2 linked regions of the Arabidopsis thaliana genome follow. The protein of the gene in region 2 interacts with the protein of the main gene of each other region in a pairwise test. Each region holds a gene or a part of one and is shown on either strand. Other genes may lie near its edges.

Evidence for each region. The genes of interacting proteins can lie anywhere in the genome.
Region 1: the proteins of NHX4 (region 2) and ABCG10 interact in a protein complementation assay, tested with the Arabidopsis thaliana proteins (one large-scale study listed by BioGRID).

The regions. Positions count from the first base shown.
Region 1 is NC_003070.9:19,859,979-19,865,574, reverse strand, and holds ABCG10 (ABC-2 type transporter family protein), read right to left. Parts: upstream 2,755-5,596; 5' UTR 2,698-2,754; coding exon 925-2,697; downstream 1-924. Other genes in the region: DJ1B (Class I glutamine amidotransferase-like superfamily protein), read left to right, coding at 1-56, 143-283, 436-633; AT1G53265 (uncharacterized protein), read left to right, coding at 4,100-4,477; AT1G53260 (uncharacterized protein), read left to right, coding at 5,154-5,235, 5,318-5,383, 5,515-5,596.
Region 2 is NC_003074.8:1,928,701-1,936,624, reverse strand, and holds NHX4 (sodium hydrogen exchanger 4), read left to right. Parts: upstream 1-2,551; 5' UTR 2,552-2,713; intron 2,714-2,987; exon of another isoform or gene 2,988-3,079; 5' UTR 3,080-3,109; coding exon 3,110-3,283; intron 3,284-3,364; coding exon 3,365-3,483; intron 3,484-3,555; coding exon 3,556-3,653; intron 3,654-3,746; coding exon 3,747-3,806; intron 3,807-3,889; coding exon 3,890-3,936; intron 3,937-4,024; coding exon 4,025-4,219; intron 4,220-4,285; coding exon 4,286-4,332; intron 4,333-4,424; coding exon 4,425-4,491; intron 4,492-4,570; coding exon 4,571-4,671; intron 4,672-4,764; coding exon 4,765-4,866; intron 4,867-4,940; coding exon 4,941-5,142; coding exon of another isoform or gene 5,143-5,184; exon of another isoform or gene 5,185-5,240; coding exon 5,241-5,324; intron 5,325-5,424; coding exon 5,425-5,787; 3' UTR 5,788-6,679; downstream 6,680-7,924. Other genes in the region: TLP9 (tubby-like protein 9), read right to left, coding at 1-241; AGP27 (arabinogalactan protein 27), read right to left, coding at 7,272-7,649. UniProt on the Arabidopsis thaliana protein: May act in low affinity electroneutral exchange of protons for cations such as Na(+) or K(+) across membranes. May also exchange Li(+) and Cs(+) with a lower affinity.

The DNA.
Region 1 (5,596 bases), on a different chromosome or scaffold from region 2:
CAGATGTGCTTCTCGACGAGGCTGAAAAGAATTCGTACGATCTGATTGTGTTGCCTGTGAGTGCTAACTTCTTCAAATTACTAAAGTTTATAGTGTCAAGCAAGTTGAGGCCAACATGATGAACTTCTCTTTTTATTATCAGGGTGGTCTCGGCGGTGCTGAAGCATTTGCAAGTTCGGAGAAGCTAGTGAATATGTTAAAGAAGCAGGCGGAATCAAACAAACCATATGGAGCAATTTGTGCCTCTCCTGCTCTGGTGTTTGAGCCACATGGTTTACTCAAGGTACGAGAGTAATCACAATAGCACACACATTTGCTTAGATGTGTAGGATCATTACTATATATCCGATGGCATGGAGTATTCTGTTATCAAACCGTTATTTTTGCACTTAAAACTAAGGGAAGGGTCACAATTTTTAATGGATTTTTTTACAGGGTAAGAAGGCAACAGCGTTTCCAGCAATGTGCAGCAAACTGACGGACCAGAGTCACATCGAGCATCGAGTCTTGGTGGACGGCAATCTCATAACGAGCAGGGGTCCAGGAACCTCATTGGAGTTTGCACTTGCAATTGTAGAGAAGTTTTACGGGCGCGAGAAAGGACTTCAGCTCTCAAAGGCAACACTTGTGTAAACTCATGAGTATCTTAGGTAAGAGTGACTTTAATAAGAAAAAGGCTTTAGTATCAAACGATCAATGAGTGTACCGTTGTTGTGGTGAGCTTTGTACTAAGTGTGATGCTTAAAACTGTCTTATAAATAAACGAGTTTACTCTGTTTTTATCAGAAAGTTTTTTTGTTACTTTACATTGCGAATTTTAGAATATAAGAAAGTGCTGAACAAAAAGAAAGAATATGAGAAAGTAAAATTTCTTATAAAATTACAAAACAAATTGAATTATATCTGCAGATCATTGTTATTAACCTAGCTTCTTGTTCTGTAACATCTGTACCATAAGATGAAGAATCCAAGGACTCTGTACCCGACGATGAAACTTGCCATGATACCAAGATTGCTCCATTTCTGAGACTCTTTGAGGTCTTGTTGTTTTAAGAACACGTCTCCTCGATACTCGTTGATCATCAGGCATTCGAATGGATACTTGAAGAGGCTGAGATAATGCATGAACTCCCAGTAAACGGGGATCCTGTCCTTTGCAATGAAATACCCGGAGAAGAGGAAGAAAGATCCCATGAGACCTGAGATTACTGATGTCCCCATTATGAAGTTTGGGACAAGAGCACTGAAACATGCGACAAAAGAGTTTGACATCAGAAGAACAATCCATATCACCAATGAGAAGTAGAGGAAGCCGTCTAGCTCTCTTCTGAGACCGACCAGCCAATAAACCGGCGTAGCAAAGAGCATGCTTATGATCAACAAGAAGGGAATGAATATGAGAGTATCTGCTAAAACGTAAGACAAAACTCTGTAAGCCCTTCTCGATGTCTCTCTCATTAGGATTCTCCTGTCTTGCAAGAAAATTGGAAGTCCCTCTGTTGTGGAAGATAGCAGGAAAGTGAGGATAAAGGCGAAGAACCCGGTTCGCAAGACTTTCGCTTCTTTCTTTTGATTTCCTACGTTCAAGTAAATCGACCCCAGTATAAGACCGGCAATGGAAGCTTGTAAGGCTCTGGTTGTGAACAATTGCTTGGTTCTGAAGATGTTCTTGCAAGATCTTTGCCCGAGTATCTGCACTTCCTCTAACACTGAGTTGCTGTGAGAATCAGATTGATGAAGCTCTCCTCCTGCACTAATATAGCAACTCTTCCATGTTTTGCTATGACCATAACATGAGATTTCTCTGCAACTCTGGGTTCTGATCGGTTCAAGACTCCCTGCAATATCAATTGCATACTCCAAGACATTTACCCGCCTAGGAATCTGGTGACCGGAGAACTTAATCTTCTGATGAAGGCTATAAACTGATCCGTTTTGAACAACCATCCCGTTAGAGAGCAACACTATCCGGTCTATCTGCTCGAGTATGCGAAAACCAGGCTGGTGAATCGTCAGAACAATGGTTTTACCTTGTTTAATCGTCATATCTTTGAGAAGCGTCACAACTTGAAGAGCGGACGCAGAATCCAAACCAGAGGTTGGCTCATCGATCAATATAACATTTGGATCATGAACAAGTTCAACTCCAATAGAAACCCTTCTTCTCTCTCCTCCAGAGATTCCAGATCTTGATCCTTGACCGATCCTTGAATCCGCAACATGTTCTAGACCAAGCTCTTGAATCAGCCTCTTCACCTTTGCAGCCGCGTCTTTCCTCTTTGTCTTCAGCCTCAAGAGTGCGCTGTACGTCAGTGTTTCTTGCACCGTAAGAAACGGAAACAGAGCATCTTCTTGTGGCACAAACCCTGAAACCCTCCTGTACTCAGGACCATCCATAGGCCTACCGTTGACAAGCACTTGCCCTGAAACTTTCCCATGAGAAACTTTTCCGGCTAGAATCTCCAGCAACGTGGTTTTCCCTGCTCCGCTTGGACCCGCGATCGCAGTGATCTCCGCGGATCTTGCATCACAAGAAACATCCTTTAAGATAACCTTTTCCTCCTTCTCACTCAACAAACCACATAAATTAGAAAACTTTGGAGTGTTTCCGCCTATTCTATACGACAGATTCTTGGTTTCTAATCTATATGAGATTTCCCGGCCACCGGGAATAGGAGCTTTTACCGGCAATTCCATCTAAGAAAGAAAGAAGGAAAAAGAAAGCATCAAACTTTGAGAGATAGAGAAATCAACAAATTGAGCAAAGAGTGTGAGATTAAGTGAAGAATAAATGGTAGAGAAGATGAACTAACACACCAAACTTTAAGGAACCTCTCCTTTATTATTCAAACATTCAAAAGCTTCAAGACTTTATTAGCTTTCTCTTATTGCCTTCCATGAAAACCGAAAAGCACTTGACTATGACTAAATTAAACCAAAGATATTTATGATTCCAAGCTTAAAATGCTTAATTTGTTTTTCTTAATAAAGAATTTGTTCGTAAATAATATTGATACAGTTAGATAAATTTATATGAAATTAAACATTTGTTGTTTTTCTTGTATTTTTTAATTTCTAATGAAATTGGTTGACCAAAAAAAATATCTAAGAAATTAAGATATGTAGTTGGTTCTTTTTTTTTTTTTTTTTTAATTGGGTTTTGAAATTGTGAAGAGGTACAAGAAAAGCAAAAAAAGAATTAGTTAGAAAGAGATTTGGTTTCGTCTAGAGATTCTCAAATTCGGGTGAGCTGAAAAATTGACCGTGAAATGTTTGCCTTGTTGGTGAACTTGTTTTATCTAATTTATTAGTTTTTTCTAACAAAGAAAGAGAGGAAACCCAGTTTGGTTGTTATATATTACCTACAATATTTAATTACGTGTTTCGAACTCGCTTACGGAAATTCAGATGTTTAATTAACAAGGAATAATCACGTAAGAAACCTCACTAATTTAATTATTTTTGGATAATAATAATAAAAAGACGCATTATAAGATGTTGTCTAGGTGGGCATTCGGTTAGATGTGGCTGCAAAGGTGAAGGGGCTGATTCAAAGTTGTGACGAAAAAAATCGAATTTTGATTTGGGTTTGGAAAAAACACTTAAAGTTGTGACTAATAAACTTTAATTCGGTATAAAATTAAAAACAACTTGGACCAAACGTAAGCGGGTGACTGGAAAAACGATATTTTTATACCAGTACAATTTGCAAAGTATTGTTTTCTTATATAAAACATACTGTACAATGTTAATTCTTTACCCAAATTCATAAAAAAAAAAAAATTATATCCAAACTTTATAGGTCGCACGTATTTTAGGATCTGCAATAACAAATGTTAGTTAATACTAACATACGTCGACTCAAATGACCCATGTTTAATGAATTAGCATCATCTTCAATCAAACCATGTCGTTTTGATCACAATTTTTCTTTTTCTTTTTTAAACCTAAGATTCAAATCCAAAACTAAAAGTAAAAAATAATATAAAAACACGAAATGAAACAATCTCGACAATCCAAAGAGCAAACAAAATCTTCAAAGTTGCGAGAGAGAGTTTTTTTCTCTAGACCTAACAATGTGTATTAGCAGGTTTCTGCAATGGGTGTTGCCAATCTTCGTGTTATGCATTATGTGCATAAAGATAAGGCCTTCGCGTACTGGTCTTGTACATGTGTCTACGCACCTGAATCTCGGTATTGCTCTGAAGAGCACAAAAAGATGGCCTTAGCAGAACGGGAATATGAGCTACCACATAACTTTGCCAATGTCCATTTGCATACGAATATGGAGGATCTTGTCCTACCAAAGATTATAAGCTATTTGAGAGATCCTCAACTAGGTATCATTGAAATACCTAATCTACAATACATAGACGACGTTTTTAATGTCACTCCCACTGAGCAACCAGATATGTTCTCTACTAACCTCGACGAAAGAGAAGAATTCAACATATGGTTGTTTATGATGATTTCGTGACAAATGGGTTTCTCATGTCAATTGAAATAACAATGGGACGATTTTGAAAATAATGTAAAATAGTAATGATATGTACTACAATTTTTAGTTTTACATAATATCCTTGAAATTTGAAAGATCCATCTAAACCCATTTATGCTTGGGGTTTTTCCATTTTCACTAAAACCTCTCCATTTTTATCATCTTCCAATGGCGATTTCTCGTTCCATCCTTCACCGGCCAGCTAAATCCTTTTCCTCACTGTTCACTCGTTCCTTCTCTTCGTCATCTCCTCTCGCCAATTCCCCTACTGTTTCTCGATCTGCGTCTTCGTTGTTGAATCGTTCACGTTCTCTCGTTTCTGGATTCTCAGCGTTGGTCCGTGCCGGTGTATCTCTAGCTAGGTGTATGTCTACGCAGGTTACTTCCGCTTCGCTGAATGATCCGAGCCCTAACTGGTCGAATCGGCCACCAAAGGATACGATTTTGCTTGATGGTTGTGATTTCGAGCATTGGTTTGTTGTCATGGAAATCTCTCTAGAGACGAGATTATTGATTACTACATCAAAACCCTAGCTCAAGTTGTTGGCAGGTATATATATAGATCCATTTCCACAGTGTTCTTTGATCTGTTTCTAGAGTCTTACTTTGTTAAGTGTGTATCTTATTTTTGCGTTTTAGTGAAGAGGAGGCAAGGATGAAGATTTACTCTGTGTCGCACAAATGCTACTTTGCTTTTGGAGCTCTTGTTTCAGAAGATCTTTCACATAAGATCAAAGGTTAAAGCTTGTTAATTCTTTTGCTTAGCTTGAGTTTATTATAAGCATTGATTTCTTATACTTTTGTATGTGAACAATCCAGAGTTGCCTAAGGTTAAGTGGGTTCTTCCTGATTCCTACTTGGATGGGAAGAATAAAGACTATGGAGGTATGTTGTTTAACTCTGATGATTGTGCTTTCTAGTCACAATATACATTGTTGTAAGGGACACTAAGATTTGATCTTGTCAGAGAGTAGTAATTAGTTTTTGATGGGTTTTCTGAAATTTGATTGTTTCAGGAGAACCTTTCATTGATGGAAAGGCTGTTCCTTATGACCCAAAGTATCATGAAGAATGGATAAGAAACAATGCTAATGCAAC
Region 2 (7,924 bases):
CTACAATCTCCTTGGTGAGAATCCTCCAGCTACGACAAACGCCGGCACAAGCCACCACGTTTCGCCGCGACGGCCAATCGCCGCCGTCAACAGTCTCAACCCTAATCAGGATTTCTCTAAGCAGCTCCTCCGGGAGCTCCGACCAGCTGAAAGGGTCTGAACTATTAGCGGTTGAGGCGGCGGCGTGAACTACACGGTGTGGCCTAGACCGCATTTCCTGGAGTAAACTTCGGAACGTCATGCGGTGAGATCTATAGAGGAGTTTAAGAGATGATTGATGATGAAAACATGATCTGGGTTTGATGAATATTATACGAGAGAATCATTTGGTGTGAAGAAGAAGGTAGGAGAAGTGGTGTTGGTGAGAGACGCGAAGAAGATTCGGACAATAATGGTGATTTGGAGGCGTTTCCTTTTTCTTCTTCATCTTCTTAAACGCTTTTACCGCTTTATTAGAGAATTTGTACTTTTTCTTCTATTATTCGCTGATAGGATAAGGATGATAAACCTGTGTGGAAAAAACAACAACAAAAAATGATAAACATGACGTTTTTGGTATGAGTTTGATCTTAAATTCACTTATTTTTTCATATAATCCGTTGACTAGTTTTATCCACTACTATATAAACTAAAACTAGACTAGATAAAGCCGCCTCATTAATTGCACGAATTTGTCAATAAAATTAAGAAAAAAACAACTACTGTATACGTTTCGGTGGTGATCAAATCTTCATTTTCGTAGATGAGGAATGACCAAAATATTTTAACCATTGATCACTAATTCAGAATCTATTTTTTGTTGTTGTTGTGTAACAGCTAAAATTGAAAATCAAAAGATACTTTTGACCGGCCATAATGTGGAAGTCATTAATGTGTCTTACACTATCAATCTATCATCATTCGTTACTTCTTCTTCTACATTCCTTTTCTTTCTTCTTTCTTTCTTAAGAAAACAAAACTAAATAATCCAAGTAGCTAAACTATAGATTCGTTACTTTTCACTGTATGAGTATGAGGCTGAAATATTTCCAATTGTCAACACTTATTTATACATGTATTATAGTTATATGTCATATACATGTAACATGTGTGGCGTCTTAAAAGAAAAGTAAATAGATAATAATAATGTAGATCGGAGAGACACAAAAGCAGACCACGAGGCATTCAAAATGCCAAACTAAAGGGTCACATGTTTGACCCACTACTATAACTAATCTGCTGTTAATGTTTCAATATCCATGTACCATGGGATTGGTTCATTCACATTTGACCAACCAGTTAAGCCTCCCAATAGCTTTGAAAAACTCTCTAGTTTTTCTTTTCTTTTCAATGGATCGGACATGTTAACAACGTTCATAGATATTAATACAATAAACTGAAAACAATAGTTTACCAAAAAATCATAAAACTACATTGTTTTGTTTCGTGTATATGTTAGATGCCTGTAATCTAAGAATTTATACTAGTTCTATTGCCCTGTACATGTTTTTCTTACCCTTACCGAAAAATTGAACTTTTAGCCTTGAATTCTAAGTTTCTTGGTCTTCAAACAATTGAACTACCTATTTTTATGTTTCAAGATGGTTTTTGATTTCTTATTTAGAATACAAATTTTGCATCTCTAACAAAATAATGAAGATGAAAGGAATTTACACGATGAAAAAGGATAAATCGAGACGTACAATGATGAACCCTTAATCATGTTGACCCCCAAAATGGGTACACTAGAATTGGCTTTTGCCCTCTCTGTAAGTGCAAAGAATAAGAACAGTGAAAGAAAAAATCGAACAAACAAACATCTGGGCGACTAGTATTATCTAATTATTCATATTACAAAAGCTATTTCCTTGTAATGATGAAGATGAATAAGTACTCTTTTTACATCCAATATTTTAATCAAGACCCAAAAATTAGTACATATAGAAAACATGACAAAAAAAAAAAAAAAAAACGACCAAGAAAAAAAGAGTCCATAATTATTAATTAGTACATATGTAGATTACCAAGAAATTCTCTATTTGGTATTTATTTTTCATCAGAGATTCGTGGAAACCTTATTAAAAAATGACCAACTTATATTTAATTATCAAGTAAACGTCGAATGACATAAGAAAGAACAACCCCCATCTATCACAATTAATATAATTCAAATAAATATTTTGGGGTCAGTTTATGAAACTGGTTATCATTCAAAGTACGTAATTTAGTTCTGTTAAGGAAGTATTTGGCTATTATGTAATACGGTGCCATAAAAAGAATACAGTACAAACAGTATATTATTCAGTTTTATTCCTAAAAAGAGAATAATCCTAAGATCATTTACATTTGGTCATAAGAAAAATAAAAGCGTGTTCCCCTCTGTTGTTTTTTGATACTCCTTTTACACGACAACATGATAACCAATGAGCTAATTCCACTTACGGTCATAACAACGGTGTAACAAAATCATCTCAACCGTTTAATTGGAATAAAGTTCTTGAGATGGATAAATAGACGATGGAGATTAGCTAATATGAGATTTAAAAGCCGTTGACCTCTCTCTATTCCACTTGGCTTCTCTGCAAAAAAAATCTTTATTTATATATTTACGCCATCTTTGGCGGTCTCTCGTCTTCGATCGTCTCTTTGCTGTCCCTTCAACAGAACTGTTACATCCCTCTCTACGACCAAACTGAATCATTCGATCTTTCGAATCTCGTCATAACTCTGCCAGGTAATATGTGTTTGAATGCTTTATCGATTTTTTCTTAAAAACATTTCTGTGGATGCTTTTTAATTTAGATCCTTTTACTGTTCATGGAGGTGATAAATTGAGCTCTTGTTGATGAAGATTGATAAATTACATGTTTCCTGACACAAACTCTAAAGGAATTTTCAAATTTTCTTGGAATTTTCCAGGGTTTTGATTCTTCTGGAACATTATGATTTTGGAATGTTTTATTATTCCCCTATTTAGGAATTTTAGTGATTTGAATTTTTCTCGGCGGCTAAAGAAGGAAACTATACAATTTTAGATACTAATTCAATCAGAAATCTAAATTCCACAAATCACGCTTCGTGTTTTTTTACATATATATAGGAAATATACTCTTAAAGCTGAGATTTGGAAATGGTGATCGGATTAAGCACAATGCTGGAAAAAACAGAGGCTCTTTTCGCTTCTGATCATGCATCGGTCGTCTCCATGAATTTGTTCGTAGCTTTGCTTTGTGCTTGCATCGTGCTTGGTCACTTGCTTGAGGAGACTCGGTGGATGAACGAGTCAATCACTGCTCTTATCATTGTAAGCTTCGTTTTTTTTGTTTCCCCAAATCTTTAAACACATTGCTTAGAAACATTCTAAATTTGGATTACGCAAAAATAGGGTTCGTGTACTGGGATTGTGATCTTGCTTATAAGTGGAGGCAAAAGCTCAAGGATTCTTGTGTTTAGTGAAGATCTCTTCTTTATTTATCTTCTTCCACCAATTATATTCAACGCAGGGTAAGTTCTTTTTATATAGAATTTCATGAAAAATTGAAAGTCGGAATTGAGTAACACATTTTTTTGTTACAGGTTTCAGGTTAAGAAGAAGCAATTTTTTCGCAACTTCATGACCATTATGTTATTTGGTGCTATTGGAACTCTCATTTCATTTGTTATCATCTCATTTGGTAAAAAACCAATCTCAATCAACTCCCACATTTCAATATCATGAGTCTCATATATTTTGATGATGTTTCCGGTTTTGTTTTTGTTATGGCTAGGTGCTAAACATCTTTTCGAGAAAATGAATATCGGTGATCTTACCATTGCGGACTATCTAGGTACCCTGAAACAAAGAAAACCCTTTTCAAGTTCTTATTCATTAAGTCTCATACTGTTTAAATCTGTACTGATGATTTTGCAGCCATTGGAGCAATATTCTCTGCTACAGACTCTGTTTGCACCTTGCAAGTAAGAACTTTTTTTCTGAAACATTCAAAGATATTATTCTACTACATTTTCTAATCAAAAATTAACTTGCACGCTTTGTTAAATCTAGGTGCTTAATCAAGACGAGACACCTCTCTTGTACAGTCTTGTCTTTGGAGAAGGTGTAGTGAACGATGCCACATCGGTCGTGCTCTTCAATGCAATACAGAGATTCGACCTCACAAATATCAATTCAGCCATAGCTTTGGAGTTTGCTGGAAACTTTTTTTACCTCTTTATCTTAAGCACAGCACTTGGTGTTGCAGTAAGTTTCTTTCTCTCCGCTCCTCAAATTTCTAAACCCGAAAAATTCTCACTCGTTTTCTTTTAGGCTGGATTGCTCAGTGCTTTTGTTATCAAGAAGCTCTATATAGGAAGGTATATTCGTATCTACTGATGGTTAAAAATGTGATTTTACCCTTTCTTTAATAATCCTTTTGCTTTGTTTTTGTTTTGTTTTGTAACATCAGGCACTCTACTGATCGTGAAGTTGCACTTATGATGCTATTGGCTTACTTATCATATATGTTGGCAGAGGTAATAAGAAAAATTTGAAACGTTTTGGTTACATTTTTTCCAACAGAAAATGAAAACATGATACATATATCCTTTGCAGCTATTCCACTTGAGCTCTATCTTGACTGTGTTCTTCTGCGGGATTGTTATGTCTCACTATACATGGCACAATGTTACAGATAAATCCAAGGTCACTACAAAGTAAGTTTCTTTTTCTTCTCCCAATAATTAGAAAATAACTCTACTAATTTGTTGTGCTTGATTGACTAAACTGTATACGTTTTCTTGGCGTAGACATACTTTTGCTGCAATGTCATTTCTAGCTGAGATTTTTATCTTCCTTTACGTTGGAATGGACGCTCTCGATATCGAGAAATGGGACGTTGTACGCAACAGGTGAGACTTAGAGTGTGATAATACATCAATATCTTTTGTTTCATTTTCATAATATTGTTTAACAATTTTGGCAGTCCTGGTCAGTCGATTGGAGTTAGTTCAATACTTCTTGGGCTTATTCTTCTGGGTCGCGCCGCGTTCGTGTTTCCACTTTCCTTCTTGTCCAATTTAACAAAGTCTTCACCGGATGAGAAAATAGACTTAAAGAAACAAGTAACCATTTGGTGGGCTGGTCTGATGCGTGGTGCAGTGTCAATGGCTCTTGCTTATAACCAGGTTTTGATCCGTGAACTACAAGAAACAAAGATAAAAAAGTGATCTTTGGGTTTTAATAAGTTCCCATGACTTAATCTCTTCTCTCTGTTACATCATAGTTCACAACTTCAGGACACACCAAGGTTCTTGGGAACGCTATCATGATCACCAGTACCATCACTGTTGTTCTTTTCAGTACTGTGGTACGTTTCAACACTTTGTTCAAACCGGTTTGCTTCCTACTGAAGTCAAATCGGGTTTAGCCTATCCAACACGTAACCTAATCTCTAACCTTTTTTGCAGGTGTTTGGATTGCTAACCAAACCGTTAGTCAAACATTTGCAGCCTTCATCAAAACAGTCCTCCACGACCGCGCTGCAGATCACACTAAGATCTTCTTTCCACGATCCGATCCTCCATGAGCCGTTGCTCAGTACCCAAGGCCAGTCAGAATACGACCCTGAACAACATGTTAGCTTCAGAATGTTCTGGAAATCTCCGTCCAGGGCCATTCATCATTACTGGAGGAAATTCGATAACGCAGTTATGCGTCGCATATTTGGTGGCCGAGGCGTTTCACCAGTAGTTCCAGGTTCACCCATTGAGAATAGTGTTCCGCAATGGAGTGAAGAAGTAGAAAACAAGGAACAAAACGGCGAACCTTGATGACCATAATGACATGAGTAAGATCTTTGACTTGTTGATCGCGTTTTTTGGCGTTGTTGGACGCAGACGCAACATGGGCCGGCTCTAATTTTTTGCCTCCAGTTTTGGTATAATGGTTTTGGATGTGAGTTCTTATTTGCCCGGTGTGATTTTTTGGTTTGTGGTGTGATTTTGTAAAGCCGGTCCGTTTTTCGTTGTTTGAGTTTGTGGTTTTGTTGAAAAATTGTAACTGTCCATGTAAATAGGGACTGATATAGGGGTGACTTGAGTACACCTAGCTCATATGCAGACGTTAGCGTCTGCGTTTGGAGATTCGAGTTTGCGTTGGTGGGACGTGAGCAGATTTTTTAATCTAAAGTTTGTGTACACTTTCTTGTACTTCTTATACAAAACAAAGGGACACGAATCTTTCTAATGTTCATAATTTATTACTGGGTTTTGCAAGAAACTTGTTGACAATATACAAATAAACTGATAACTTATATATAAATATAACTTTTGAGAAATCTAATCTTATTTTTATGCTTGCACGTATATAAGGACAAAGTGAGTGGGTATCAATCAACCTTATAGTAACATATACAATCTTTCACGCATAAAACCCTATAATGTGAAAACAAGAAACGTCCTTTACATATTTCTTCTCACCTAGATATTATTAATTTTAATATTGAGACTTTGAAACCCCAGAAATAAGATAAAGTGTGGGACAAGAAAAGAAGGCACCTTTTTTTGTTGTTGCTTTTAGCCGTGAGGCCAGCATATGCAGTAACTCACATGCATGCGCCTCTAACCTTGTGGCATTTTAGGAATTATGCAATAATGCACTATACTTAAATACGTTAATTCACAAAGTAATACATTCATTCAGTTCATAAACACGTCTCAAGATTAAGACAAAAATAATCATAAAAAACTGGTGTTTTACATAAACTTATGTCGAAATTAATTAGTAGTCTACATATAATTACTCAAGTGTTATTTGCATGTAAACAGTACAAATTTTTGGAACGTTTGATTTTGATACTACTATAAACTGCAGTATACTGTAAAGCATGCATATGACGTCACTTTAATTTGAAACGTAATTTCAACTTTTTCAAAAGGTTCTTTAGCTTAGCGATAAAAAAAAAAAAAAAAGTTAGTGTATAGTAAACGAACAAATGAAATGAAAAGAAGAGAAAAGTATAAGTCCTCAAAGTGTATTGAATCACTTAACGGTAAATTAGTTTTTATTTTTATTTTTATCCAGAGTTCTTAAGTTAATTATGCATCAATTATGTGGTTCTGACGTAATATATTACTTGCGTTTTTCATCTAAACCAATCTAAAACTGTAACAAAATGTTAAGTGGAGAACAATAAAAAATACAAATAGTAAAAAAAAATTGAAAATCAAACTAAATCTAATTTTATTCGTTATTTTTAGGGGACAAATAAACTCATGAAAATAATGACGTACGTGGTCTAAAATATATGAATGACCTATATAGCTGAAACGGCAAGAAGCCGGAGCGAGAAACAATAGACGGCGGCGAAGACAAAGTAGATGAAAACTCCGGGAGCTTGAGAAGACAGAGAAGCAAGAGATGAAGCCGGAGGAGAAGCCGATGGAGCGAAGGCGGGATCAGGATCTGCGGAAACGTCGTCGTTTTCTGGTTCAGGAAGTGTTGAAGAAGAAGGGATGGTTTGAGTGGAGGAGACGGCGGGTGAAGGGAGGAGAGGAGCGATCTCCGGTGAGATCTTTTCTTCAGAGGGAGAGATTGTTTGCGAAGATGGGATTGTATTTGTCGTCGGCGAAGAGAGAGAAAGTGAGGAGAGAAAGATGAAGGTGATGAGTGTTAGCAATATAGATGAAGCCATCTTTTTTGGTTACTGTAATGATGAACAAATCAAAGCTGAGTTGTTTTTTTCCTTAACTGATGAGAGCGCATTTTGTGTTGTAATAATGATACTGTCTCTATAAAAGAAAACTTTTAGCTCTAATAGTAAAATATTATAAATTGATTTTAAATGGAATTTGTCTCACCTTTTTCCAAAAAGATTATTATTTATCAATTTAAAGGATGTGTTCGGTGGAAAAGAAAATATATTTGCTGAATTCTTGAAGATGGGCGTAGATCGAGTTTTCACTTTTT